Linked DNA regions of Arabidopsis thaliana. The protein of the gene in region 3 purifies or fractionates together with the protein of the main gene of each other region. This does not show direct contact. Each region holds a gene or a part of one and is shown on either strand. Other genes may lie near its edges.

Region 1 (7,692 bases), on a different chromosome or scaffold from region 3:
TGTTATCTTTCAAATCATTTAGATTATTCTTCATTTTCTTTTCTCCTTTTAGCTTTTTTAAACCTTTTAACGCAAAAAGAAAATCAAATACACATTCATATAATTCGAGAGAGATTTGGTGAGAAGTCAGCATTGCCGACAGGAAATTCTGCCTCACCACCAAAATGGTGAAAATACCAAACCAATAATTACAACAACTTTATTTAGGTTGTAATTATATGAGTACATAATTACACTACCCTCTTATTTCCACGAAATATGAACTCATATTATTTAATATATTGACAAAAAAAAACTTGTGTTTCTGTGTCTTTTAATTTTCATTGAAATGATGATGTACATGCAGTAGTAATAAAAGTGAAAGCCGATGTATTCTAAGATTTTCTTATAACTATTACCTAATTTAAGTTTTGATTTTTTAAAGATCAACTATTCGAGGAGGTGGGCGAAGTGAATATAATGCATGCTAGAAAGTTCAAAGTTTTACAATGAGAAAAAAAAAAGTGTATATAAAAGAAAAAAGTAGTATACTTTGCTATTTGTGGGGTATAAAATTTAATTATTGATTTCTACTTTTAGGGTTCCCCTCTTGTTCAGCATAGTTACAAATTACCACTCCAATGAAAATGATTCCTTCTTAAATAATTTAAGTGAAAACCTATATTTCCTTCAATCAGTAACCTATATATAGATTCGACTTTATTATTTAACAATACATAAGTATGAAACTTACTTATTAAATATAACAGTGTTTTAGAATGTCGTACATATTTGTTTGTGTGTATGTGTGTGTATGAGCATGTGTGTAAAAAAGAAGAAGAGGTACTTGACTTATCTATTTGTCTGTAACTTAAATGGAAAAATAGCATCTAAATAATTGTATTTCTCTTTACTATTTCGAAATAATTGTTTGTTTTCTCTTTGCTTTCACTGTTCTTACTTAATTTGTGTAATTTCACTTTAGCTGTCCGGTCAGTCCATTTATGAAATCTTGCCACTAGATTTCAAAATTTGTGGTACTATTGATAAAGTTATGATTTACAAGAATATAAATCATGGGTTACAGTTTTTTAAATACCCCACAAAGTACAATACCATGGGCTCATAAATAAAGAAGAAATCTTTTAACCTTTCCAACTATTCATAGCCGTAAAAAAATCATGGGTAAATCACACATCTTGCTACAAAAAGATTAACAAGGTTTCATTTATAAACATCAAAAAGGGTTCTTCACATTTACAATCTCACAATTTCACCTTTTACAGCTTTAAAATGAACTTGTATACAATAGCCAAGAAAAACTTGCTTTCATGGTGGGGATCCACATTTTTGTTCTTCTAAAAGACTTAATAGATTGATATAGATAGATAATCTCATAATCATAATCATGGTTAAAATTAAATTGAAACCCGTTAATCAGGTTTTGCTCTTCAATAACTCAAGATATCAAAAGTATATGCATCTTTAGTCTGTCATTGCCAACAACAAACGTTATCATGAAGAAAGAACATTAAACTTTCAAAAGTTAAGTCATTTTCTCTCGAAAAGTAAAGATATGTTTTCAAGTCATGATTAAGAATATGAATTTCCGATGAAAAAAGCGAGTGGGATCATTACACTATTGTACCAAGAGACGAAGAAGCAAAAGCTGTCATTAATTAGAGTTTCTAACTTCTAACCGATACATCGATGATAAGGACAAGAAACTGAAATAGACACATATGTTATATCGAAAAATTATGATGGTATATTATATAGACTAAAGAAATACAAATACTCTCAATCACCTTCTAAAGAAACCAAGTACAAATTGAATATTAATGATAGTATGAATGAGATACTAGTAAATCAAAGAAATGAATTTAAACAATCCTAAAGAAATGCCAAATTCTAATGAAAAACTAAGGTGAAATCAAATTGATCAAAAAAGAGATTCAAATGTCACACTGAGGACGTATCGACAAGAACATCGTTTAGCATATGGTCGTCACCATTAGCCATAGCGAGAAGCTCTGCATCCCTATCCTCCTCGTTTGAGAAATCTCTCCTTTCGAATTTCGAGTTAGCGGATATGAAGATCAGCTTTTGAGCTCGATCAACGGCTGCATGTGACCGCCCGTTCGAGTTTACCCATTTCAAAAGAGAGGAGTTGCATTTGAACCCTCCAGTCGTAGCGTGGAGGAAAATGAGCCTTACTGCAACTTTTCCTAGTGACCTGAACTCGCTAAGATACGTCTCCCAAACAAGTCTACTGCTTTGAGGATTCGCTATCCTCATCTTTCCGGAAACCGGATCACGCTCTTTCATTTGGACCGCCCTTGCATACATAGGATCAAGCCCTTCGGTTCTCCATTTCATTAGTTCCATCAACGCAATGTGTGCCTCATCTCTAGACACAAGCCTTGTTATCAACTTATCTACATCTTTCTCTTGCTCTGGCGACAAACATTTGAACGGAGGAAGATACTTTCCGCTACTATCTCTTATCAAGTAAAGAGGGTCAAGTATAAAAGCCGCAGCCCAAGCCGGATGATAACTCTTCTTGAATCTTCTCTCAACGACTTTCTCCACATGTCCTTCCCCTACATTAAACTTAGAATCCCAATCTTTAACCTTAGCTCTTAGCTCATCCCATAGAGGTAAGCATTGCCCTACAAGCAGCTTCTCTTCCTCTATTCTCCGAGCCATCTCTTTAACAAGCTTGATCAAAGCATGAACCGCTTCTACCTCGTTCCAAAACCCTTCGTCACCAACCATCTCTCTAACCTCCCTAGCCATATGATCCTCCATTAAAACAACCTTGCAAGCATCATCATGTACTACCAACTGAATTGCTCTAGCGGAACTCAACACATCTTCAAGAAGATTAAACAACGGCTCGTAGAAACAAACCTTGTTACTACCACTACTACTACTACTACAACTTCTACGTTCATCGTCGTAATAGCAATGTAAAGGCAACCTAAGCATTATCGATTCGCCATGTTCCTGCAACTGATACTTACAGTGAGCGTTACGTATCTGCGCGGTGTTATTGATGAACTTAGCTAGTCTCACACAGTTTTGTGAAACGGATTTGAATAAAGGAAGCTCTTTTACGAAATCTTTGATCAAACTGTTGAGTCCCTGAAACTGACAAGAAAGATTCACCATCCATTGATGTTGACTCTCCAGATTCCTCAGTGCTTTGGTCTTAAACTTATCAGAGACTATCCCAACACATCTCTGAGGTGAATTTCCACAAATACCCTTCACCGTCTCCAACAAGACCTCCTCTGCGTAGTTAGACGGCACAGCTCCGTTCACAAGTACCGCTCTTCTGTACAAACTCGTCCCGTTTGGTAAATTCACAATCAAATTCACAAGACTCTCGCCGGACTCTCCTGGTTTCCAACCGTCCGATGAGATTTGGAAGAACATTGCGTCTCTGATTCTCGATTCAGCCTCTGCTCTGGCTTCCTCGTGCTTCAAGTCCAATCTCGTGGTGGCGAAATCTCTCTTGGAGATGATTGGTAAACCAACTTGTGTTAAAAAAGCTCGAAACTTTGGATGCTCAAGACCCGAGAGAGAAACAGAGCCGCAGGACTCGAAGACCCAATCAGAGAGAGAATCTAAAGCTGACTCTATCTGCGATCTGGTAAGAGACTGAGTCTGCGACGGTTTAGGACTCTTAAGCTTCTTCACACTGTCTTCAAGCATAGCTAAAGGACCCAAGTCATCTTTTCCACCGGAGAGCATCAAATGCTGCGGCGGCGGAGGAGTTGAATAATGCAACTCTCCGCCGCAGAATCTAGAAGGATCAACAACGGTTATCGGCGTGACGTGATAAGAGCCTCCGATGGGAGGAGGGTTAAGCCGAGAAGGAATCGCGGTGGTGACAGCGCCGGAGGAGTTACGTTTCCGGTGATGAGTTTGAGGAGAGGAAGAGGAAGAGGTAGGAGAAGGAGTGATGGTGGAAATGGGAGTAACAGAGTTGAAATTAGGACACGTGCCGCGTTTGAGATGCTCAGAGGCAGTGCGTGAAGGATTAGAGGCGGAGAAAACGGCGTCGCATAAAGAACAACGAAGCTTCACGGCTTTAGGGAGACCAGTGTCGGTGTTGCGTACGAGGATTGGTTCAAGATGAGTCCAATACCACGCGCCTTTACCTTTCACTGCTTTTGTTCTCACCGTCATTAAACCTTCGTATCTCTTGTTTAATGCTTTTGCTGTTAGCTCGTCTGTTGTTAACCCATCCATCGCCGGAGGAGCAGGAGCTGGAGGAGGAGGAGGTGGTGGTGGTGGTGTCTGTTGAGTCGCCGTGTGAGCGTTAGTCGTCGCCATCAAGAAAGAAAAAAAGTTTCTAAATCGGAAATTTCGAGGCTCTTGCTAAAAGGGTTTTAAGCGAGAGTTGGATTTTACGTGTGACATTCTTCAGCAGTAGGATTTCGCCGGAAGACGACGATCTTTAACGTCGCTGCCATTTTCCGGCGATCAGAAGAAATGAAATTTTTACTCACTTCTTTAGTTTTTTTTCTTTCTAGTGAGCTCTTGTTCTTGACTGTGAATGGTTTTTTCGAAGAAAGAGACAGAGCGGAGAAGAAGAGGAGAGAAATATGGAAGAAAGAGAGAGAGTTACAGAGGAGGTTGAAGCACACGCGCATGGAGGTGAAAGAAGAGAGTCCCACGTCGTACGAGAACACAAACGTTACATTGGCTCGTAGTCTATCTCGCTTTCTCATCATTGGAGCGTTTTAGTCACGCGCTTTAAGTTGGTTTTGGGGGATTGTTTTTGTTATGTGTGTTTTTTTTCTTTCAACTTTTGTTTCTTTTTTTCTTTCGAAAATCTCTTTTCTTGTCTCCTACTTTAATATTTAAAAGAAAAAAAAATTGGAACTATTTGGGACCTTAATTTAATGCATTTTATTTAGATTTTTTCTCTTCTTAATCTTTATAAATGTTTTTCTTGTGCTATACAGTTTCAACCACCAATGGTAATGTACTTTCGTAACTTCAGTTGAACGGATAAAAAAACAAAATTGGGATCTTGAGAATTTTGAAGGCTCTAAGTTTTGGTAAAAAAAGAATTATTAACATAGGCTGAGTTTTTAAAAAAATCTAAATGATTAATTCGGTTTATAGAATCCTTATTGTGAATTTAGTTAGAGATTATGTGAACGTTGAAGACACTTTTTGAACATTTTTTTTGGATTTGATTACAAAAATGAAAAAAATGGGTGAGTGGGATTTCCATTTGTGTCCTATTGTCTACGTGGGATGAGTTCAGAATTTGGGCATAAAAGGGTAGAGTGAGAATTTAATTTTTGTTTCTAGATAGACAATGAAAGACATTAACGCAGAGACTGTGTTGTGTTGACCATTTTCTGTTGACTCATAAAGTACATTTCTTTGTAAATATTTTTTTTTGGTTTGTGTTGAAAGTTGTTTATTTTTGACTGCAACCTTTTACAACTTCCATTTTTTTACCGACACTTTTGGTTCCTACTAATTCCAACCATTTTTTTACTTTTTGTTAATCTCAATAGCAATTTTGCTTTCATTTGCTTTGTATGAATGTTCATGAATCATGTGTGTCTTGGCCGTCGTTAGAAGTTTGAAGTCATGATTCATGAATAACAACATCCTTTGTACTCTTCACAACTTCTACCTCTTTTTAGTTAAAAGTAAAAACCCAAAAAAACATGAACACACACTAAATAAAATTATGACTGAGGACCAATATTTACCTAAATAAAATTACTGGCCAATGGACACATTTAGCTAAATACCAACCAATCTGTAGCAGTCCAACAAAGTACACATGCTTTTCACTCATAGCCAAAAACTTAGAATTTTACTTTAGTATGTCGTTGATCTATGAATAATTTAATACAACCTATAAAACCATATCAATGCGAACAAACTCATACTAATGAATATTAAAAACACATTTTCTTGATCAACTATTCCAGCTAATTAACCACAACAAAGACTATTTCTTATGTGTCACACACACACATACACACACACACACATAAGTCTTTCTATATTTTACCCTTGATTTTCTACTCTTATTCCAATGCAAAAAGTGTCTTGAACTTGAACTTGTAAATCTCTCTTAGTAAAACGTATAATTAAAGTTATAAGTGGAGGTTAGTAGGAGTCAAGTTTTAATTGGTCAATATCTAATGTCATAAAATCCATGTCACAACTGTCTCCCACCTTCTAATGTAGAAGTATCATGTATGCATGCTTATATGTATGAATGATCAATGAATTCTAAAGTCTAATATACAAAATCCACCCATAACTGTATCTATATAATAAAAAGGCAGAAAATTAATTTCTTACCACATAATTTAGAGCAGTCCTATCTTAAAAAGATGGATAGTACTATCTATAAGAATGATCTTGTCTGTTACATACCAACCACCCAAAAACCATGGATTATGCCCTCTAATTTTATTTTTTGATAAACGACGTTTGCAATATAGTGATGAGAACTATTAATAACATCACTTTGTCATACGTTTTATTAACTTAAGGTGTCTACAATGTAAACAATGTAACAATATATCAAAGTAACTTCTTACGTTAATCTCCACTTAAATAAAATAATGCTGATTTTGTGAATGAAATTTGAAAATAAAATGTTTAGAATTGATATATACTTTTTTGCATGATACTTTTCATACGTGGAATGAGATTTCAAGATTGGTCCCTAAATGCATATATTAACTAAAAATAAGTAACTGTTGACAGAAAATAGGTATGTTATAAATTTGAATCTTCATTTTCCAGTTAGTGAAAACGAAGAGCCAATCCTTTCAGTTAAAAAAATACTGATATTGATTATTACTGTATCAAACGTAAATTGCTTGATTTACAATCTTGTACGAGAACTTCTTTTCCCAACCACTCCACTATATCGTGTTATACCCGAAATAAATATATATATACCATGTAAGAAATAATAATAGTTGAAATAAAAATAATGCCACCTTTTACATTGATAGCGATAGTAATTATTTGATTATTGAACTTGGATGGATTTAGTTACTAACATAGCTTCTTTATTTTACAACTTAATTGAACCACACTAGAGAGGCCAGAATCTATAATTAGTGAGGAAAATCCGACTAAGCTAAACCATATTACAATTCCAAAATGCTATCCTTCATAATCTCAATCTCTTAATCCTTGCAATTATAAGTTATGGATTCACCGTTCTTGAGAAAAGAAAGAAAGAAAAATACATGGAAAAGATGAAGCTTGTTTTTCTTCGTACTAGAAAACAGCTGGCTTTTCTCAATCACATGATTGAATGGTTTCTGGTACCATTTTTGTTTTTAATTTTTCATTTTTGATTTCCTTAAAACTATACAATAAGACAATGACCTAAAAAAAATTATACACGACTCAACAAAAATTACACGGCTCTCGTGCCCAAACCCAAACTGTTTACTATTTAATTGGGCTAAATCTATAGAGGCCCAATGGCTTATAAATCATAGATTCATAATACTGAAATATTAAACCGGCGTAAATGGTACGTACTTCGGGAAATAACGAATTCGATTTTAACCGGAAACTGAACCGGAAGCTGAGTCTCGTGCCTGCCTTCTCTAGGCTTCTTTGTTTCCGATCAGAATCTCGAGCTCAACTGTCAAAACTAGCCGACCACTAAGTCGTTGTCCTAACTTTCTCTCTGTT
Region 2 (7,523 bases), on a different chromosome or scaffold from region 3:
TTTTTAACCACTTTTTCAGCAACTACTTCTTCCACGTTATTAAGATTCTTTACTTTCTCTCCCATCTTTCAAACCCTCTGCCAGTTAATTTACGATCTCAAGAGCAACCGTATAAGCCATTCTCAAGAAGATAAAAACAGGTTTAAATTCTTCTTCTTCTTTCCTTTCTCATAATCTTAGATCCTCCATTCTTTCATCTAAATACGTCTACCAGAGAAACGAAAGAATGACGTAAATAATGAAAGTTGAGACTTTTGTGATACCTAATGTGATGGACGCTGTTAACCCCTCACGACTCACTGAGTTTGGTCCACCCAATCGCTGGTATGAATATCAATAAACCTTTGGCCGTTTTGTTGCGTTTTACTTGGTCTTATCTTCTTACATTTTCCATGCACACCCGCTGCTACAAAATGACCACATGAGTTTGCGAGAATCATATAGAAACAAAATGGATGCAAATGTTTTGGGGCTTTCAATTCAGAAAAAGAAGAAGAAGAAGAAGAAGATAACCAAATTGAGAGATGGGTGGCATGACATGACATCTTCTTCCACGGTGTAGTGTGCAAAATAATTTAAATGTGAAACCATCTTATATGTTCAAGTTTAGAAAAGCGTTTTGGTTAGAAGGTAATTCATTTCTCCATCATTATTATTGTTAAGTTTTTTGAGAAGAAAAAACGGCTCTGTATATATATATATATTTTTTTCTATATATCTATGAGATAAGTTAGTGTATTTATGTAAGATTATTTGCTGTTTCCAATAAAAGTTTTCTTAATTTTAACACATATATTATTTTACAATTTGAGTAAAGTTGAATAGGACTTTTATTGAGAGTTATAGAGCAATGTGTGATACACATTGTATTTTGTGAGGTTGTGATATTCGTCATTTGTGTAATTGTTGCAAATTTCAAAGACACGAAATATATTATTGGTATTGTTGTTTTGCGTGCAAGGCACGGGCTGCCTACTAGTTTACTTACAAATAAAAAGACTTTATAAATTAAAATCCAGTTCGATAGGTGTCTAGGCAGATTTTTTGAACATTACCTACAATGATTACATAAAACACTATAGATTAAACTTTTTCCACGGCAACTAAATTTAATTAAAAATAAAAAAAACTTTATGAATTAAAATCCAGTTAAATATTTTAAAACATATATGTTCAGTAGTAAATTTTGATATTGACGGAACCATTATCACGAAATATTCAGAAAGAATTTTGATTCATATTCATCACAAAATTTATAGCACAATAAAAATATATACACACACAAAGTAGGTAGACTCTAGATTTTATTTATCTTTTGAAATTTCTAAGGTCTGGTATGATTTGCCTTATGCTCAACCCAATCCATTTCCAATTGACTATTAAGGTACTTTTTAGACTCACAAATATTCATTTTGTACAAGGTTTTTTAAAATGTCAATGATACACTTGATGAAAAATGTCGACTCTTCGGACTGATCTTTACAAATTTATGAACTAATCAACTATGAGTAATTACGTTATACTAAGATTAGAAGGATTTAACGGTAAGGTCTTGACTCGTTTGGCAAAATGCAAGTTTCTGGGATAAGGACTAAACCAAACATATTATAACCTTACAAAACGAAGAGTAGTTCTTTTTTTTAAGTTTCAAACAAAACAAAAACCTTACTTAACACCTAACGCCACAAAAGATTTTCTTTGTTTCTGATAACAAAGTAAACTAGACCACGCAAAAATATTAAAGGTCTCTTCAGACCTCAGTTTTCTTCTTCTTCTTCTTCTCACTCTTTTCCTTCTTCTTAGCAGGCATTTCAGTTTCCTCTTCCTCGTGTTTTCTCTTCTTCTTCTTCTCCTTCTTTGCAGGCTCTTCGGCGGTTTCAGGTTCTGCTTCTGTCTTCTTCTTATTCGATTTCTTCTTTGAGGGCTCCTCAGTTTTGGCTTCTTCCTCATCATCAGCCTTCTTCTTCTTCTTTTTGTCTTTCTTCTCTTTCACACCGTTCTCTGAATCCACTGTGGGAGTTTGAAGAAGAGAGTCTGCAGCAGTGTTGTATGTCTGCAGAATACAACAACAACAACAACAACAAACAGCTTAATCCTTTAAGCAACATTACAGGTAATATATCCAAAACACAATTGCACAAATCCAGAATTCATAATTACAAAAGAAAGTTGAAGAAACAAACTAGCAGAGGAATAATCTGACCTTAGCAGGAGTGATCAGACCTCCGGATCCTTTCTTTTTATCTTTGTCATATACTTCAATCTTTGGTTTGCCTTTAGCTGAGCCAGATAGACGTCCTAAATCTTTTCCTTCGAGAGTTCTCAACCGTGCTTCAAGCTGTCAGAAGAAAATAGCCCGCATGGTAAACATCAATCAAGGTAGAGTATTTTTAGATCAGATCGAGAGGAAGATCGGAAAAAAAAAAATTGAAGGATACCTTTAAACGGTTTTCAACTCCCATAGTGTTGTCTTGGGAGTCACCAAGAGCATCACAACGGATAGCAAGAACAGATTTTGCAGCTAGTGACCGTGAAATTTTACCCTTGTTCTTCGGTGCAGCTTGGCCAACAACAGATGCATGGAAAATTAAACCATACTTTGGAGTAGCGTGTTTGGTCTTAAGGGCTCTAAATAAGGCTTTTTCAGCTCCAAGAATCTGAACCGTGCTTCCAGGTTGCTTTGCGAGGTTCAACAAACTACCACCGTGAGATATTAAGCGAGCACCGACTAGCTCCCCGACAAGGGCAGTTAGATTTGGTGCAATTGTGTTCATTCTGCTCTTCAAGTAGTCATAAAGCTGAGCTCTGTACTCGGCAAGAGAAAGAACCTGGTCACAGAGTTCTCGGATGTGCAATAAATCAAGGTCACTGACTTCAGTTCCCATAGATATCACAGCAGCCTCTTTCAGTTCTGCTTCAATTTCATCAGCCAATATCTGAGAGGAGGACACAGAAACAATGTTTCAAAAAAAAAAAAACTAGTGTTAAGCACAAGGAAGTCAAATACTCAAACAGGCCTTTACCTCAGAGAAGTCTAGCTTTGCAGCATTAATCCGATTCCCCATTAGTTTAACAGCCTTGGCATATAAGATATTGTCCTGTACGATCTTAGCAAGCTCAGGAAAATGCCAACCAAACCATTCACGAACCCTCATAGCGTAAGTGTTAAGCTCTTTGTCAAGATCATCAAGCAGACCAATAGCTTGGATTATCATGGTATCCACCTAACATACAAGTACAAGGTGAAGTAACATAAGGGTCAAACAAACACAGGATATATAGACAAACTCAATTGCAATTCAGACCTAATGTTGGAAGAGTAAAAAAAGGGATACCAAAAGTTCCATAATTTATCAAAAGTTGGCTAACTCAACAAATAATTCAGAGAACCAAAAACCAATACAAATCAAATGACTACCTTGTCGGAACTGAACTTTAGTTTATATCTGGCAAGGCTGTGAGACAACCCCAAGCTCATTGGACCTAGATCTTGATCACCCAATCCAGATATAAGTTCAGTTAGCTGGCTTCTGATACCTCTTAACAGCTCCATAACAGCATTGTTGTGAACACAGACTATTTTCTACACGAGTGAAGCAAAACCGTAAGAAACAACCCTTACTCAGAAATAAAAGAGCGTATCGGAACAAAATACACACCAGTTTCTCCTTGATGATATTTCCAAGCTTAGAATCAGCAACAGCTAATGTTTCACCAACACAGTTAGCTTTCAAAAACTTGCGTAGACCCTTGCTTGGAGTTCCCTCAAGCAATTTAGCCACTGCTTCAAGAGCTTCAGCTGTGTTGTCAAACTTGTCAAAAGCTACTAGCTTCACCATCTGTAACAACACACCAAAAATTGCTATGAGAAACAAATATTATTAGCCAGATACAAAATTTGAACTATGTCTAGAACAAAATAAATCACCTTTCGGGCTAACTTTGCGGTCGAGAACTCATTACCCAAATCCTACAATCACAAATTTGACATACTTAGAATTAAAAAACCAAACCACACACAGAAACAAGGTTAAGATAAATGAACAAAGGAGAATGATTTAGTTAGTAACCTCAACATTAGAGAGCTTTCCTTCGTTTAATACTTTGAAGATGGCAAAACCACCTGGCGTCTCAAACAGTATTAGCATTTTTACAAGCTCCTGAAAAGAAGAAAAAACAAGATTAAGAGAAACCCTTGAATCAACTCAAAGTCACCAAACTTGCAAGTTAGTGTTTTACGAGCTAAAGCCATTAAGCTAGTACGAAACAATATTCAAGGTAAAACTTTTTCCCTGTTTCGAAGTTTACAAATCAGAATAATAGTTAAGGCAGATACTCTGTTCAAATTCTTGAAAATCCGACAAAGAACAGAACTATACTTTGTCAAAGTCTTAGAATTTTGGAAGCTTATTTGCCATAACAACGAAGAAAGAGAGGGCGAGAGAGATTCAGTACCTTAGAGGGTTAACGCACAACTACAGCTTTAGAGAGAGCTAAAATCAGGAGCCGCGATTCTGCTAGGGTTTAAGATGGTTTTTATAGTTGTTGAAGAAGGTTCAGAGATTCTCAAAACGCTGCGTTTTTATTGCTAACGGCGCGTTTTTGTAACCTAGGGTTTTAAAACGCATCGCTAATTTAGAAAAATAAATCATTTTGGGCCTAATTAAGTTTGGCCCATTAGTATAAACGACGTCGTAGTTTGAATCATGTCTTTCCTTTATAATTTAGCTAAAGCAGCGACTGATCACATTTCAATCTCTCACGACAAAAAAAAATGTGAACTTGAAATGGAATCTTCAAAGTTGTTGTCTTTATTGCGAGAGTGTACCAATAGCACCAAGTCTCTAAGAAGAATCAAGCTTGTGCATCAGAGAATACTCACGTTGGGGTTACGAAGAGACGTAGTTTTATGCAAAAGTCTCATCAATGTCTACTTTACTTGTAAAGACCATTGCTCAGCGAGACACGTCTTCGAGAACTTCGATATACGATCGGATGTTTACATATGGAACTCTTTAATGTCTGGTTATTCAAAGAACTCAATGTTTCATGACACTCTTGAGGTTTTCAAGAGGTTGTTGAATTGCTCAATTTGTGTCCCTGATTCGTTTACTTTTCCGAATGTGATTAAGGCTTATGGTGCGTTGGGTAGAGAGTTTCTTGGTAGGATGATTCATACTCTTGTGGTGAAGAGTGGGTATGTTTGTGATGTGGTTGTGGCGAGTTCTTTGGTTGGTATGTATGCAAAGTTTAACTTGTTTGAGAATTCACTACAAGTGTTCGATGAAATGCCTGAGAGAGATGTAGCATCTTGGAACACGGTTATTTCGTGTTTTTATCAAAGTGGAGAGGCAGAGAAGGCTTTGGAGTTGTTTGGAAGAATGGAAAGTTCTGGCTTTGAACCAAATTCAGTTTCGTTGACGGTGGCTATATCGGCGTGTTCAAGGCTGTTGTGGTTGGAGAGAGGGAAGGAGATACATAGAAAATGTGTGAAGAAAGGGTTTGAGTTAGATGAGTATGTAAACTCTGCCCTTGTTGATATGTATGGGAAATGTGACTGCTTGGAGGTGGCTAGGGAGGTTTTTCAGAAAATGCCTAGAAAGAGTTTGGTTGCTTGGAATTCTATGATCAAAGGTTATGTCGCTAAAGGAGACAGTAAGTCATGTGTTGAGATTTTGAATAGAATGATCATAGAAGGAACTCGACCGAGTCAGACAACCTTGACCAGCATTTTGATGGCTTGCTCTCGCTCACGGAATCTCCTACATGGAAAATTTATACACGGTTATGTGATTAGAAGCGTTGTAAATGCAGATATCTATGTGAACTGTTCCTTGATTGATCTATACTTCAAGTGTGGTGAAGCAAATTTGGCTGAAACCGTCTTTTCAAAGACACAGAAGGACGTTGCTGAGTCATGGAATGTCATGATTTCTAGTTATATCAGTGTAGGTAATTGGTTTAAGGCTGTTGAAGTGTATGACCAAATGGTGAGTGTTGGAGTGAAGCCAGACGTGGTAACTTTCACAAGTGTTTTACCTGCTTGTTCGCAACTGGCTGCGTTAGAGAAAGGCAAACAGATTCATTTGTCCATTAGTGAGAGCAGGCTCGAAACAGACGAGTTGCTTTTGAGTGCGCTTCTTGACATGTATTCTAAATGCGGCAATGAAAAAGAGGCTTTTAGGATTTTCAACAGTATACCAAAGAAGGATGTTGTATCATGGACGGTAATGATCTCTGCGTATGGATCTCATGGTCAACCCAGAGAAGCACTTTACCAGTTTGATGAAATGCAGAAGTTTGGTCTAAAACCTGATGGGGTTACTCTTCTTGCTGTATTGTCAGCTTGTGGTCATGCTGGGCTAATTGATGAGGGTCTCAAATTTTTCAGTCAAATGAGATCAAAGTACGGAATCGAGCCTATTATTGAACATTACTCGTGCATGATTGACATTCTTGGCCGAGCAGGTCGGTTGCTTGAAGCTTATGAAATTATTCAACAAACACCAGAGACAAGTGACAATGCAGAGCTTCTCAGTACTCTCTTCTCTGCTTGTTGCTTGCACCTGGAACATTCATTGGGAGATAGAATCGCAAGATTGCTTGTTGAGAATTATCCAGATGATGCATCAACCTACATGGTCTTGTTCAATTTGTATGCTTCTGGTGAGTCATGGGATGCAGCAAGACGAGTCAGATTAAAAATGAAAGAAATGGGATTGAGGAAGAAACCGGGCTGCAGTTGGATTGAGATGAGTGACAAAGTGTGCCATTTCTTTGCTGAGGACAGGTCTCATTTACGAGCTGAGAACGTTTATGAGTGTCTTGCTCTTTTGAGTGGTCACATGGAATCCGGTCAATGATTCTTATGTTATTGTTAATTATGCATGAGACGAAGTCTCCTCCTTTGCAACGGTTGACTTTAATTGTTGGTTAAATTAGAATATGTAAAAAAAAACAAGTTGCTGCCTTAAATATTATATACTTTGGAATAAATTCAACAAGTTCGTAATTAACAATATCACGACTTCTCCAATTACCAAAGGGTCTCATGCCACACCAAAGAGCATACATATAGACCACCAAGTTTCATTCTTTTTCGGCTAAGTAGAAGAAGAATAAAATGAAGAGAGAAAACAACCTCGTTCTCAGCTTACTCTTCTTTGTAATCGTCTTCCTGATGCAGGTCGGAGAAGCACAAAATAGGATAACCAATGTAAATGTGGGAATCGTGAATGATATCGGAACGGCTTACTCCAACATGACTTTGCTCTGTATCAACATGTCTCTTTCTGATTTCTACTCTTCTCATCCAGAAACCCAAACAAGGCTTGTAACCACCGTTGTTGACTCCAAAAATGATGTTGTTACCGCAGCAGCAGCAGGTACACGCATACCCATTTCTCTAAATTTGCATGCACTGAGATACGTGTGTGTCATCAATCATCAGTTCATATGCACACTTCTTATCTACATTTATGCTTTCTCCTCCAAAGGTTTTTTTTTTGCATAACAAAACACTC
Region 3 (7,708 bases):
CGTGTCAATGAGAGATATATAAAACGTTTAGGAACAACTAATAATGTAGGGTAAGAATGGCAGCAATGTCATTATGTAATATCTACGACTAGTGACCTACGTATAAGCACATCAAAGTACTCTAATTAAGTTTTTTAATCAACCGACGTCGACAAAAAAATATTGTGTCCCGATATGCATTCCTAAAACCACACAAGTTCATATGTATATATACTAAAAAATTTCCGGAAGGTAGATTATATAAACATTGTAATGTGAACCTGTTGATTCATCAGAAGTAACATCGGTCTAAATATCGGTCGGTTAAATATGAGTCACATATTATTGTACGTGGGTTTGAGTCACATCGATGTTCATAAAAAGATTTTGATTTACTCTTACCAAATTGTAATATGATTCGTTAGGTCTTAAACTCCACAACTTGAACAAAAGTATCTTTACATACTTTCCACTCAAGATAGAACTAAAAACTAAAAAATAGTAGGGAAGTGTGAAGTGTGCACACTGCACACGATTGTACACGAGTACGGTGGTTATATAGAGTTTGATTGATTCAAAAAGATGATTTGTGATTTTACGTACATGTATAATGTATTATCAGTGGATAATTTCAATTCAAATCTAGAAAAATTTTGAAACTGTAGATTTCTTACTCAAGTAAAGTTACAAACATACATGCTAGACGATCATTGTTCTCATTTGCCCTGCATGCTTCCTTTGATCACGTGTTATTAGTTCACCATGAATCTACGACATTATACAGAAATTATTCAAATGATAGAATGACACGTTCAAGATCCGATGATCCCATATCTAAATATGAAAAATGTAACGTTTCAATATAAAAACAGGAATGAAAAACAGAAAAATCTTTTTTATTTTTTTTTGGCCAGAATGAGAAAATCTTTATCACACGAAACTGATTATCTAAAGCATTCCAACAGAATACATCATTCAATAATCTCATTTACTCATACGCGTGAAATCTCACTTTGGATTAAGGTGTCAAAACTCAAAAGATAATCTTAATTCACAAGACTGCACACCGGTTATCAAACGTTTTTAATCGTTTCCAAAGTAAATATTTATTTCTCTTTTGGTGGATGATTTTCTCCAATAATTTGAAAAAAATAACTGATTGATGGATCATGGATGCATATATATACTGAAAATCTTGCACAATTATTAGTTATATATTTCCATATTTGGTTTCATATGTTTTAGACACAGCAATATCTTTGCGTGTGCGTAATTCACAAAATTTTAAGAGATGAGTAATTTTTTTAAGGCATCATTTTCAACAAGAAAGAAAGAGACAGACAGCTATATTGTAAACTAATATAGGATGATTGCATAATCATTTGGACAAAGGGAACCAGAGAGATTAAACTAAACTTAAAAGATATAAGACAGATAGGTCGAGGTTGTTCCACAGACACAGTACTCAAGATCGGATTACGTGCTTAATGTCCCCTAATCACTATTTGGATTAGATTAGAGATTCTTGTGCTTTCTTATGTCTACAGTTATATATCTAACTGACCGACCATCACTCTCTACTCCCGATGCGAGCTTCTTCTACCTTCCACGGAGCTGTCAAAACGGGCTAACTAAAACCGGCAAGCCAAACCAACCTGTCCCGCTCAAGAATATGAAATTTTCCAGAAAATTAAAAATGAGAAGAAAAGAAAGAAAAACCTTTTGAAACCCGTCTTGTGGATATTTTTTTTTATATAATAAAATTCAAATGAGTTGAATGAAACACTGAGAAAGAGCAAAACAGTAACACACGCACACTTGAGAGAATGAAACAATGACAGATCGATTTATAACAAATTTGAATCCGTAAAGAAATGAAAAATCAGAAGATTGAACAAGCAAATGTTTTCGAGATCACTGGCTGCGCGGCGTACGGCTGCTCTCTGCATTTCTAATCGGATAGAAATATGGATGCGCCTGTAAAAATCCATCATATTCTCTACTATCACTTATCTGTAATTATAAGAGAAAATCTTTAGAAAGATATTAAAGAAAAATTGTTGCTTACCATTGCTTCTTTAGCTGTTGGCCTTTCTTGGTGATCATATCTCAGCAACTTGTCCACAAAATCAACAGCCTTCATTAACCAAAAAGTATATGAAAACAAATGAGTCATGTTCGTCCAAAAAATCCGGTGTTTTGGTCTTAACATGAAGGCTTCATAATTGTATAGAGAAAAGTTAAGTGTTGTACCTCAGGAACTGCTAAGTGCTGGTTTTCAGAATTGATGAACTTTGTCCATGGCTTCCGGCTATGTCTATATAAAATCAAGAGTGCATAATTTAATGTTCTGAAATGATAAGGCGCAAAACTGGAGTTTTTAGAGTTTTTCATAACTTTTTAAACCGGATTACCTGCCCACGAGGGATGTTAGATTAGGGTCCAACTCTATACGGTATTTGTTTAGGTAGGCGTTGAGTTCATCTGTGCCAAGCACCTGCCATAGTTATAAATACATAGAATCGTATTTTTAGCTATAACTTGGAGGAATGTAAAATCTGTTCAGAGGAGACGAGACATGATGAAAGCTTTTGTAATGTTACCTTCGCAATTTTGACCAATTGATCATAGTTGTCATGGCCATAAAAGAACGGCTCCTTGCGGAATATCTGCAAACAGTAGAGTATACAATATTCACCACTTAACTAACTTAAGGAATGGTAAAATAACCAAAATGTACTGTCGAATTCTTGTCATTCCATTACAGCTTAAACCAAGTTAACTAAATTCTAGCTTAAAACGCTTACCATTCCAGCAAACATACACCCAAGACTCCATAGGTCTAAGGAATAATCATAGTCCTGTAAATCCACCAGCAGCTCTGGACCCTTAAAGTACCTGCTCATCAAATATGAAGTGAGAAATGATAATAGTATACATCAGCTAGACGAAGTTAGATAATATGTTTCAACTAATCTCAAGAGCTCAATGCATGCAATCTTCAACATTTCTTATCTAGACTCTCTATGAGCAGAAATTTAGCAACTGCAACAAATAGAATCTTGCAGAGGAGAGATTAGCAGATAGCCAAAAGGAACTACCTTGAAGCAACACGGACATTGTATTCTTTCCCAGGATGATAGAATTCTGCCAAACCCCAGTCAATTAAACGAAGTTTTCGCTGCTCGTGATCAATCATGACATTATGTGGTTTCACATCTCTGTGCATGATTCCACGTGAATGGCAGAAATCCAACGCCTGCATAAATGTTAAAAAGAAACAACAAACAGCATCAGAAACAAATTCGTACCCTTTATAACTGAAGGCTAGTGGATTCAAAAGTCAAGTAAGGTAAACAACAGTGTATGACGCTATACATCTATGATATATCTACCGATTACTTTTGCCAATTGCCAAAGCCGCAAAGAAAATCATGGTCTACAATTCAGGAAACTGAATAATTACCTTTAGAAGTTCAAAAATGTAATATCGAACATCATAGTCTGAGAGAGTTGGATAGAGAACTTTGAAATCTTTATTGTTCACATGTTCAAATATCAAGCTGGGCGTCTTAGACTGCTGATCTCTAACAATGTCGAGCAATTTTACAATATTAGGCCCACCGCAGAGGTTCTGCAGAATCTTAATCTCTCTCTTAATCTGCGTCAAGGAGAAGCAAAATATGTTAGAGAATAATTCAAACCAAGTGAAGGGCCAGAAACACACTTCATTCTGAGCACAATTGAGATAAAAACAAGCAAGCGGCTGTATCTACTCACCTTCTTCTTCTTCACAGGCTTCAAAATCTTGATAACACATTTCTCGTTATCAGTAGCATGAATGCCTTCAAAGACCTCACTGTATTTTCCCCTTCCTACCTTCCTCACCACCTCATAATCATCCTGTACACTGCGGCATCAATGAAGCTAACTCAAACACTAATACACCAAACAGTAACAACACCATACAAACTCAAGATATCAATTCAACAATCTAGTTCACATAGACCAGCAATTTTCAAGAGATTATATACAAACAAAACAGATACCAATACAAACAAATCAGATACCAATTCTGCATTACTTACGAGATTATATCATCAATCAAAAATATGAAACGAAACCCTAAATCTACATTCCACATTGATTCCAGAACAACCAATCCCAAACCAATCTATAACCAAAGGCAAACATCTAGAAATCGACGTAATTAGGTTTAATTAGAGAAGAATCTGAAGATATACCCCCATTGAACAGCAAGGGACTCGTAATCCCAATAGTCCTTAGGTCTAACAACGTTGACATCAGCGTAAACCCTAGCTTTCGACGGCGCACCGGCACGCCGGATAGATTTACCGATCTTCTGAGCCAGCGTTTCTGATTTTTCTTTCACGCGCGATTGCTGTTGTTGCTGATGTTGTTGTTGTTGATTCCGGAGATGTTGACGGTAAAGAGAAGCGCTGGATGCGAAACGACGGAGATTGTCCTGGAGCGAAGAGAGAAGAAGATTCCTCTTCGCCGGAGACGACGAAGAGAAGGAGAGGAGAGAGAAGAGATTGTTGTTGGCGGCGGAAGCGTTGCGAAGAGAGGAGATTGTGAATCCAGTACAAGGCCTTAAGGCCATTAATGTCTTTTTTTAACTCTTATTCAGAAAATGAAAAGTGAAGGTAACGAATTTGCTTTATTTCTCTCCTTTCTTTTTCTTTGGCTTCTCTTCGAAACGATGTCGTTTAAACAATTCGGTCCGGTTATAGTGTGATTGAAATCGATCCGATTGGGTTTGTTTCGGTTCGAGTGTGGTTGAATCGGTTCGATTTGGTTTAGGTGGTTTTTGGGTATCAGAGATTCTTCTTCAACCTTTTTCTAATCCTGCACAACGCACTTCTTCTGTTGTCATCATCATCGTCCACTTGAAACAAACCTGACGATCAAAGAGAAGATTGCGATCGCAAATTTCTCCATTTTTTCAGATCGAAATTGATGTCGAAAGCTAGGGTTTATACAGATGTTAACGTTGTTCGTCCTAAAGAGTATTGGGACTACGAGTCTCTCGTTGTTCAATGGGGGTAAAACTTCTAGCTTTAGAATTTTTCTTTGATGAATTTACGATTTTTGACTTCTTTTTGATAAATTTTCGGTGGAATTTGATTGATTTGTTGCCAAATCGAATTCGAAATCAGAGAAATTGGAATTTTTTAGGGTTTGGACTTAGGTCTCTTGAAGACACTTTGTTTTAAGTATCTATTAGCAAATATTGGATTTTGAAATTCAACAGTGTGAGATTCTTAAATACTTTTGTGTGATTCTTCAGTCATCAAGATGATTATGAGGTTGTGAGAAAAGTTGGTAGAGGAAAATACAGTGAAGTTTTCGAAGGCAAAAACGTCAATACGAATGAGCGTTGCGTTATCAAGATCCTCAAACCCGTAAAAAAGAAGAAGGTGATCAGTTAGTAGAACTCATTTCTGATGAATTTGCATACATAAAGATGGCTAATTTTGCTGAAACTTGATGTTATGCAGATAAAGAGAGAGATCAAAATACTTCAGAACCTATGTGGTGGACCAAATATTGTTAAGCTGTATGATATTGTTAGAGATGAGCACTCCAAAACACCTAGCTTGGTATTTGAGTTTGTCAACAGTGTGGACTTTAAAGTATTGTATCCAACATTGACTGATTACGATATCCGGTACTATATTTATGAGCTTCTGAAGGTAATGTATCGGTATTTACCATAAATGACTTTTACCGTACATACAAATGTTTATCGTGGAATCCAGAGCTGATGTTATTGCATTTCAGGCATTGGATTTCTGTCACTCTCAAGGAATAATGCATAGGGATGTTAAGCCTCATAATGTCATGATAGATCATCAGCTGCGTAAACTTCGTCTGATAGATTGGGGCCTTGCTGAGTTTTACCATCCCGGAAAAGAGTATAATGTTCGCGTGGCCTCGAGGTAATATCCGATACCACAGCTTAATTCCACCTGTCTTGGCAAGCCTAAGAGGGTCATTCGTAGATGCCAATGATTGAAACTTTTAGCTGTGCAATCAAAGCTTCTTGTAGTTGTTAAATGCATTAGACTAAAAACCTGTGAATTAATTGCCAGATACTTCAAGGGTCCCGAGCTTTTAGTTGATCTACAGGATTATGACTATTCTTTAGACATGTGGAGTCTTGGTTGCATGTTTGCTGGCATGGTGAGAACTAATAATCCCCTCACTCTTCTCTCTAGCTTCAATGCTGAAGCTATTGCAAGCATTTGAATTTCCGAATGGTAGTCGTTAATACTTTGCTGTTGCTTATTCACTTGTCAAATATTGATGCTGCAGATATTCCGTAAGGAACCGTTCTTTTATGGCCATGATAATCATGATCAACTTGTCAAAATTGCCAAGGTATATTGCTAGTCTATGACTTATTGGCATAAAATTACATTGTAAACTTAAATCCATGTATATGATTTCTGATTGAAACGTGTGCATAGGTGTTGGGAACCAATGAGTTAGATCATTACCTAAACAAATATCAGCTAGATCTTGACCCTCAACTGGAAGCACTTGTTGGAAGGTTTTATTCCATCCCTGAATCTCTCTGTCTTTAAAAGTCAAAATTGTTGCTGTTCTCAACTCTGGCTCAGTTAATTTTATACCAATGAGTTAAAACCTGAAGTCACTCTTATTTGTAGACATGTCCCCAAACCATGGTCCAAGTTTATCAACGCGGACAACCAACATTTGGTCTCACCTGAGGTACTACTCTTTTTCGAAAAACATAGTTTTGCTTCGTTCTGGGTGTATTGACTCATTGTATACATCTTTAGGCAATTGATTTTCTCGATAAGCTTCTTCAGTATGATCATCAAGACAGATTAACCGCAAGAGAAGCCATGGTAAAAATCCTCTTCATGTGCACACATCTTTTGATTTTGTTTTACCCGATGATCTTCATGTGCACACATCTTTTGATTTTGTTTTACCCGATGATCAAGTCAAACTTATAATCTCTGGTTTCTCTATTGATCTATAGGATCATCCATACTTCGCTCAAGTTAAAGCCGCAGAGAGCAGCAGACTACGAACTCAGTAAAACCGAAGCTTGATTGATGATGCTTACTACTATTTTTCAACCAAAAACTTTGTAATGATTTTGTTGTATCAAAATTGTGGTAATCTTTACTTTCATAGAAACATAATCAACAGCGAAAAGAAGCCAACTTATATTAAAAAAAAAGGTTCCACACAAAGCTTCATTATATAATCATAGCAAGAGACTTATTGTTGAAACAAGTAGAGAGAAATAGAAACCATAAAATTTGTCGAGACTTTGATACAAACATAGGAAAGATGAGGATCCATACGTTATACATTGGAATCCTTTATAGTTGAGATAATAGCTTTCATCACTTCTTGAGGTGAGGGAAACAAGCGACAACATCGGCTTTCGGATGCTTCGCCTCCGCGTGCTCCCTGCATTTCACTTCCGATGTCGTGCAGATGAATGTTTGCATACAAACCTTGCACTATATAAACACACACATCAACAAATAACAAGTTAATATAACACAAAGCTTCAGGATCAACAAGAAATAACAAGTTCATTAACACAAAGCTTCAGGATCAACAAGAAATTGTGCATCAACATGAGACAATTAAACTTACGTTTCATGACTACATAAACAATTCCAAAGGACTAATAATAATTGGATTCTTATTAAGAAAA
Region 4 (7,493 bases), on a different chromosome or scaffold from region 3:
TGAGACTTGAACAGAGAAAGAAAATTAAACCCTAGTTTTAAGACAGGAGACAAGTCAAAGGAAGGTAAAGATCTGAAACTTGTTTAGAATTTAGACACAACACAAAGCTGACTCAAACTCAAAGAGACAACGAAAATAGGAATGAAATGAGGGATGATTTCAAAAACTCCACAAAGAGAGGCAAAAAGATAAAGGAAAAGGAAAAGAAATGGAGTCCAAGAAGATTTTAAAAATGAAACCTTTAAAGCATACACAAAAAAAGAAGAAAGAAAAATCAATTAGGGCTTTGGAGAAAAGGCAAGGTGATACATACACATATACAACAGAGTCGTAGACCAATAATAACTCTACTATTGTTTAAGAAGGAAGAAAGAGACCAACTTGGGTAAAAATGTCTCAAGGAGAAGAAGGATTCGTTGAACTGCTCTTCGAATTTTACTTGAAAAAGAACTCTCTTTAGTTTTCTGCGAATCAGACAAGAAAAAGGAATAAATAGAAACAGACGAAGATCTGTTGGCTCTTTGTTATTATTATTATTATGTGTAAGTAATTGTTTTTGGACGCAACACCAATACGGTCAAAAAGGCTCAAAGTTACTACTCTTCTTCAGCCCCCACCAACTTAAAAACCTCTGAGCACCATTTTGTACTCATTTCTTCTCTCTTTTCTCTATCACAATTTTCAATTTTAAAAATTTGTGGAGTACTATAAGTCTATAAAGTTTGGGGGAGATTTTAATGTGTAAGAGGTCCAATGGTGTTAAAGAAGTGGTTTTCTCAATGACATTAGAATATTAAAACTGATCTATAATTTTGTTGGTCAAAAACAATATATTACTTAGCATATGTAAAGAATATTTGGTATGTACCCACCTAATTTTGGAATTTATTATTAAAATAAACACTAAGAGTTTTTTTTAATATTAAAATAGGAATTGGAAAAACAAATAAAATAAGAAATATGGTATGTAATGAGAGTTTACTTCATCTATCCAATCAAAGAAGCTCCTTTATCAAGACTCTATTGTAAACCAAACAAGGAACAAAAGCTTAAGGAACTAATGATTTACGTCTGTCCTTTAGAATTAGCCATTTTATTTCTTTTATGACTTAAAGCTACATATATTATCTATTTATTCATTCATTCCCAGCATTATTGCTAACTACTATGTATTCTTGTAGACGATATACTAATTTTATTGACCTCATTAATTTGATTAAAATCTTGCCAGACAATAACCAAAGATAAACATGCATAGTCAACAAAGAGAAATACGATCATGAAAAAGATACTAACGCCTGTAAAAAATCTTTAAAATCAAAACAAAATCAAAGAGTATTTTATTTGGTGAATCTACAGACACGTTTAGTAGCAAAAAACTATTTGATTTTTTCAGAATATATTATTTTTCTTCAATTCTTTCCTCTTCCAGATATATATAAATCATGCAAGAAGAATATTGTACAACTACAAACTATAAATTGAAAAAAGAGTTCCAAAATTAATAATCTAGAGTCTGGAAGGCTAGAACAAAAATAAAGTTCGGGTGAAAAGGATTTAAATATGAATCCATCATTCAAAATGACGATTTCAGAAAATTTAAGTTTCATCTTAAAACACCTATTCCTCTAGATAAAATGCAATTCAACAAAAACAGTTATTAATCTTACACTCAAGAGATTTCTCAAAATCGGTTTCTCTCCCTCAGTCCTTACTCTTCTTTTTCTTCTCTTTCTTATCCTTCTTCTTGGCTGGTGTCTCCGTTGTTTCTTCTTCCTCATGCTTTCTCTTCTTCTTATTCTTCTTCTTCTCCTCCTTTGCAACCTCTACTACGGCTTCAGTTTCTGCTTCAGCTTTCTTCTTCTTCTTTTTCTCTGATGGCTCTTCCTCTTCGGGTTTCTCTTCTTCTACCTTCTTCTTCTTTTTCTTATCTTTCTTCTTTGATGGCTCCTCAGATTTAGCTGAGGTTTCCCCAAGAAGAGAATCTGCAGCAGTGTTGTAAGTCTGCACATAACAAAAAACAGTCAAGATCACTTCATCATAATCCCAAGAACAAAGACAATATGTACACACATCCAAAATTAGAAGAAAAGATGATGAATCAAAAACAGAGAGAATGATCGTGACCTTAGCAGGAGTGATAAGACCGCCTGATCCCATCTTTTTATCCTTGTTATAGACTTCAATCTTAGGTTTGCCTTTAGATGAACCAGACAGACGACCTAAATCTTTTCCTTCAAGATTTCTCAACCGCGCTTCAAGCTGTGAGTTTTTAACACATATCAGAAACATCATCAGTTAAGAAGGAGGAAAAAAGATTGTTCAGAGAGATACCAACAAGAGGAAAGCTATTGAAGAATTTTGTTACCTTAGCTCGGTTTTCAAGGCCCATAGTGTTATCTTGGCTATCACCAAGAGCATCAACCCTAATAGCAAGAACAGTTTTAGCAGCTAAAGACCGCGAGATCTTTCCCTTGTGCTTTGGTGCTGCTTGACCAACCAGAGATGCGTGAAAAATCAAACCGTACTTGGGTGTGGCGTGTTTTGTCTTAAGAGCTCTAAAGAGAGCTTTTTCGGCTCCGAGTATCTGAACCGTGCTCCCAGGTTGCTTGGAGAGGTTCAATAAACTACCTCCATGGGAAATAAGACGAGCACCAACAAGCTCTCCTACCAGGGCAGTCAGATTGGGAGCAATAGTGTTCATTCTGCTCTTTAGGTAATCGTAAAGCTGAGCTCTGTACTCAGAAAGAGAGAGAACCTGGTCACAGAGTTCACGGATGTGCAACAAGTCTAAGTCACTGACTTCTGTTCCCATGGATATCACAGCTGCGTCCTTAAGATCTGCCTCAATTTCATCTGCTAAGATCTACAATGAAACCAGAAACAGGAGAATATTAGGTCGTTAATCAAGGCGTTTGTTCATGGAAGCCTCTACACAGTTTACAAAATTGAAAGTTACCTCGGAGAAGTCTAGCTTAGCAGCATTAACTCGGTTTCCCATCAATTTAACAGATTTGGCATATAGGATATTGTCTGATATGATCTTAGCAAGCTCGGGAAAATGCCATCCATACCATTCTCTAACCCTCATGGCGTATGTGTTCAGCTCTTTGTCAAGATCATCAAGCAGACCAATAGCTTGGATAATCATGGTATCCACCTGACAAAAACTAAACAGTTAGGAGATGCAAGAGAAGCAAAAACAAACACAGGAAACGTTTAATGTCGGACAATCAAAGGCTAGTTCAATACAGAAGTTCCATAATTTAACACAAGTTAGCTTCGATCAATTAACAAATTCATATACTTCACATATCATATCACCAAATAAAAAGACCAATACAATTAGTCAGGAACCGAAGATACCTTGTCAGAACTAAACTTTAGCTTATATCTGGCGAGACTGTGAGACAGACCCAAGCTCATAGGAGCCAAGTCTTGATCACCCAACCCAGATATGAGTTCAGTAAACTGACTTCTAACACCACGTAGAAGCTCCATAACAGCATTGTTGTGAATGCAATCAATTTTCTGTATGAAATTAAGAACTTTCATTAGAAACAAAACACAGAGCAGACAGGAATATGGGTGTAATGATGGGAATTACAAACCAGTTTCTCCTTGATAACATTCCCAAGCTTTGAATCAGCCACAGCCAAGGTTTCACCTTGACAATTAGCTTTCAAAAACTTGCGCAGACCTTTGCTTGGAGCTCCCTCCAGCAATTTAGCCACAGCTTCGAGAGCTTCAGATGTATTGTCAAACTTCTCAAAAGCTTTTAGCTTAACCATCTGGTACACCAATAAAAACATATGAGAAACTCAACACTAAATCTAATTTTAGATGTTCTGAAACCACACTTGATGAAGAAGCAAAAAAATTACCTTTCGTGCTGAGTCTGGAGTGTCGAACTCTTTACACAAATCCTGCAAAAAAAAATAAAAAATAATCCATGAATACTTTTAGAGCCTTAAGGATAAGCAAAGAGAGTACAAAAGAATGAAGAGAACTCACCTCGACGTTAGCCATCTTTCCTTCATCTTTAACTTTAAAGAGGGCAAACCCCGCCGCTGTCTCGTATAGCACTAAGACCATCTTCACAAAACTCTTAAGCTGGACCTGAAGAGAAAATTAAGACAACACTTAACTCAGAACAGTAAAGATACGTGTCCGAGTCACACTAATTAAACTAAAAGTTCGTTTTGAGATTAAAAACTAGCGAGAAACAGCATTCCATATAAACCCTAATCCTACTTTTAGATCACATAAGAAATACAGGAGAAGAAAAAACAGAGAGATAAACTACAATAGCCTTAAAACTCTGTCCGAGTATGAGTATTCGAAACTCCACAATCTCCAGCAAGAATGGAAAAGTGAAACACCGTGAAGAGAGAAGATGAGAGATATTAAATACCTGAAGAGTTAATCAAAGCAGCTGCGTGAGAGAGAGGAAGAAGATGAAGACGGAGACGGACAATCACTTAGGGTTTTAAGAGTGTGTTGTTATAGCAGTTAAAGACGAGCCGAGCCTTCTTAAAACGCCGCGTATTGTAAGGGGTATTTCTATAACTTCCATAGTTAGGGTTTAGGTTTTAAGATTAATGGGCCTGACTGAATGGATATTTTAATCTGGCCCGTTTATAATATTAATACGTGGGCGTTTTATTGTTCTCTTCCCCCTTAATAGTTTTTCTTTTTTAATCCCTTTGTTTCTCTGTGGTATTCAACAAATTTGTCTCGAATTTATAGAGCTCGAAGCTTCAAGGTACGGTTTCAAATTTTCTCGTTGATTTTCTGGGTAGATAGCGTTTTCCATACTTCTCTTCAACTTTATTTCATAGTATAGCTCTGATTTTGCTAAAACTTCATCTGATTAGTTCCGTGGATCCTGAAAATCACGATTTTGCGTGTTGTTTAGGGTTATACTCTGTAGTTGTGTGATTAGTGTTTGAAGAAGCTGGGCTAGTGTTCGATGTTTACGTCGATAACCTAATTTTGCAGGAAGTTATAATGGCTAGTGAAGATGAATCGATTGAACAAAAAGCTGCTGCTCGTAAAGAGGCACTTAAAGCTCTAAGGGCAGCTCAGGAACTGTCTGAGACCAAGGAAGACGGAGAGGATGAAGCTGTCGAAGAAGAGTGAGTTTGCTTTGTTCTTTGCTTATTTTGTTTGTCTTGACTAGCACATGGAGTTGTTAATGTTGTGTGTTGGCTTTAGCATAACTAGGAGCTTCTCTTGTGCTTTGCTTCTCGCCTTTACTATCACTGTTTGTGAGAGAATCAATAATGGTGCTCTTGCAGCATCTGTTACCTAACAATTTTTTCCAATTTCAAGTTGCATTGTTGTGTATACTTTGCTTAGGTGGTTGGTTTTGTTGATTGATTATTCGAGGTAGATTCCCTTTTTATTCATATGAATTGTCTTTGATTTTACAGTGGTCCAGCCATGAAGTTTAGAAACTATGTTCCCCAAGCTAAGGAGCTTCAGGATGGTAAACTAGCGCCACCAGAGCTACCCAAATTCGAAGATCCGATCGTTGCACTTCCACCTGCTGTAGAGAAGAAAGAGGTGTGTGTGACAGTTTTTCTTTTCTCTGTACAAGGATCACCAAAAGCGACTCTGTTTAGCATTGTTGTTTCCTTTACTTGTGCCTCTTAAGCTTACAAAAAATGTTATCATTGTAGGACCCATTTGTTAACATCGCTCCAAAGAAGCCAAACTGGGACCTCCGAAGAGATGTGCAGAAGAAGCTTGATAAGCTCGAAAGGCGGACTCAAAAGGCAATGCATAAACTCATGGGTAAGTGGCAACTGTATCTACATACTGATATCTTCTATGTAAGCTTGATAATTAAGACATTAGTCTGTGGTTCGTGAGTAAGTGAGTAACATTTCACTGAATCTGTTGGTAGTATGATACCAAATCATAGAAGTCCAAAATAGAGTGATCTGTTGGTGTTTGTTTATTATGGAACTAACACATGCACTTTCATCATCTAATTGCAGAGGAGCAAGAGAAAGAACGTGAGATGGCTGAAGCTGATGGTAACACCATAGAAAGTTGAAACCCAACGACGTCATCAAAGAAAGCCACCACTGAACAGTATATTCTACTCGATTTTGTTTAACTGTTAAAGCATTCGAAGTGAGTAGACCATGTAAAATCCTACAGCCATTGGCATAGACATAGTAGGTTTATCTTCTTGTGTGAATCAAAGAAAGTCGCAATTTATTTCCGAGTAGAATTAAGTGCGGTCCGGTTTTTCTCTAAATTTGGTTCAACATCGGTGGTAATCTAGTTTGATCATTAATGGAACTGCGTTTTTTGGTTTGATTCGATTTACTGTGGTTTGATAAAGACATCCCAAACTAGAAACCAAAGTTTTGATTCGGGCTAGACGGGTTTAGTTTGGAGTCTGGGAAAACAACACAGAGAGCTTCTAAGACCTTTCTTCTCGGCATGTTGCTTCCACAGTGGGATGATGGAGTTTAGATACAATATTTGTTTATTAATACCGAACAATCAAAAATAGATACTAAGTTTTTTTGTTTTCCAAAGCTCAAACCTAATGTACAAATTCAGTAAAGCTTTCGACACCATCTCACCTAAATATCTTGGACCTTTATTGGTGCCCACTTCTCATGAATCCAAGCTCCAAAGAAGAGAAGCTAAGTAAACACTAGGCCAAGGTAAACCAAGATATATGCTTTTCGAAGGAACAAGCAATGAAAAGCTATAGACTTCCATGTGATTAAATGCACCAGCAGACAGATCCCAATCTGTAGAGCAATAAATGAATATGGTGATATTCAATTTCAAGGCTTCGATCAACATAACATTATTGTTCCTATCATTTGTTTCAAACCAAAAAGAGCAATCTACAAAGGCTTTGGTATCAGGAGTTGTGAAAAAGCTCACATGAAAAATCTACCAACTCAAGTATCTCTATTTTTCTTTCTGATGAAAATACCTAATATGAAATCACCTTCCCAAGTAAAAACTGTCAAGTAGATGGAGCCGCTCAATAAATTTTATCTTGACAACACACCAACATAATGCATTACCACAAGTTTTCACCTTTTTCTAATATTTTACCTCAAAAGTTATCTAGCTATAGCCACTCTGTAGTTGAGAATCAGATCCTCAGGTTTCTTCCATACATATGCCCGTACAGTTGCTAAACTCATATCTGGAGATAAGACCTGAAATAATCACAGAGAAACAGCTCGTTCAGCCTCATACTGCAAACAGTTAATTGAAACCAGAAACAGGGCAATAGTTGGATCTCTTGAAGTCTGACTTGCCTGGCTATTACATAAGATCTCAATGGAAGGTCTAAGTTTCTGCCAAGGCTTTAATCCAGACTGTAACAATCCATTTCCTGAAAACAGTGGCTGAGGTTGTCCTCCTGAAACACTTGCTGCATCAATAGCTAGACTATCCAACGGATTGTCAAGGACCATCTTTTCCACAACGTAATTGGTAACCTACAT

Evidence for each region.
Region 1: the proteins of AT2G23070 (region 3) and AT1G12380 fractionate together in Arabidopsis thaliana (co-fractionation; one large-scale study listed by BioGRID). This does not show direct contact.
Region 2: the proteins of AT2G23070 (region 3) and AT5G27120 fractionate together in Arabidopsis thaliana (co-fractionation; one large-scale study listed by BioGRID). This does not show direct contact.
Region 4: the proteins of AT2G23070 (region 3) and AT3G05060 fractionate together in Arabidopsis thaliana (co-fractionation; one large-scale study listed by BioGRID). This does not show direct contact.

Annotation. Positions count from the first base shown.
Region 1 is NC_003070.9:4,212,558-4,220,249, forward strand, and holds AT1G12380 (uncharacterized protein), read right to left. Parts: upstream 4,856-7,692; 5' UTR 4,324-4,855; coding exon 1,942-4,323; 3' UTR 1,701-1,941; downstream 1-1,700.
Region 2 is NC_003076.8:9,537,912-9,545,434, reverse strand, and holds AT5G27120 (NOP56-like pre RNA processing ribonucleoprotein), read right to left. Parts: upstream 4,575-7,523; 5' UTR 4,456-4,574; intron 4,161-4,455; 5' UTR 4,149-4,160; coding exon 4,071-4,148; intron 3,971-4,070; coding exon 3,929-3,970; intron 3,840-3,928; coding exon 3,660-3,839; intron 3,584-3,659; coding exon 3,419-3,583; intron 3,225-3,418; coding exon 3,024-3,224; intron 2,937-3,023; coding exon 2,439-2,936; intron 2,339-2,438; coding exon 2,204-2,338; intron 2,054-2,203; coding exon 1,751-2,053; 3' UTR 1,370-1,750; downstream 1-1,369. Other genes in the region: AT5G27110 (Tetratricopeptide repeat (TPR)-like superfamily protein), read left to right, coding at 4,788-6,863; GLR2.1 (glutamate receptor 2.1), read left to right, coding at 7,124-7,385. UniProt on the Arabidopsis thaliana protein: Required for 60S ribosomal subunit biogenesis.
Region 3 is NC_003071.7:9,822,269-9,829,976, forward strand, and holds AT2G23070 (Protein kinase superfamily protein), read right to left. Parts: upstream 4,631-7,708; 5' UTR 4,604-4,630; coding exon 4,224-4,603; intron 3,890-4,223; coding exon 3,760-3,889; intron 3,641-3,759; coding exon 3,446-3,640; intron 3,239-3,445; coding exon 3,081-3,238; intron 2,878-3,080; coding exon 2,787-2,877; intron 2,649-2,786; coding exon 2,583-2,648; intron 2,477-2,582; coding exon 2,394-2,476; intron 2,297-2,393; coding exon 2,233-2,296; intron 2,117-2,232; coding exon 2,048-2,116; intron 1,957-2,047; coding exon 1,894-1,956; 3' UTR 1,374-1,893; downstream 1-1,373. Other genes in the region: CKA3 (Protein kinase superfamily protein), read left to right, coding at 4,960-5,045, 5,291-5,420, 5,502-5,696, 5,785-5,942, 6,096-6,186, 6,319-6,384, 6,474-6,556, 6,675-6,738 and 2 more; AT2G23090 (Uncharacterized protein family SERF), read right to left, coding at 7,389-7,508. UniProt on the Arabidopsis thaliana protein: Casein kinases are operationally defined by their preferential utilization of acidic proteins such as caseins as substrates. The alpha chain contains the catalytic site. Involved in the regulation of various developmental processes.
Region 4 is NC_003074.8:1,411,470-1,418,962, forward strand, and holds AT3G05060 (NOP56-like pre RNA processing ribonucleoprotein), read right to left. Parts: upstream 4,588-7,493; 5' UTR 4,415-4,587; intron 4,120-4,414; 5' UTR 4,096-4,119; coding exon 4,015-4,095; intron 3,927-4,014; coding exon 3,885-3,926; intron 3,792-3,884; coding exon 3,612-3,791; intron 3,532-3,611; coding exon 3,367-3,531; intron 3,161-3,366; coding exon 2,960-3,160; intron 2,867-2,959; coding exon 2,369-2,866; intron 2,263-2,368; coding exon 2,128-2,262; intron 2,005-2,127; coding exon 1,705-2,004; 3' UTR 1,398-1,704; downstream 1-1,397. Other genes in the region: AT3G05070 (Cwf18 pre-mRNA splicing factor), read left to right, coding at 5,011-5,138, 5,436-5,568, 5,685-5,799, 6,006-6,064; AT3G05080 (uncharacterized protein), read left to right, coding at 6,569-6,676; LRS1 (Transducin/WD40 repeat-like superfamily protein), read right to left, coding at 7,104-7,202, 7,305-7,487. UniProt on the Arabidopsis thaliana protein: Required for 60S ribosomal subunit biogenesis.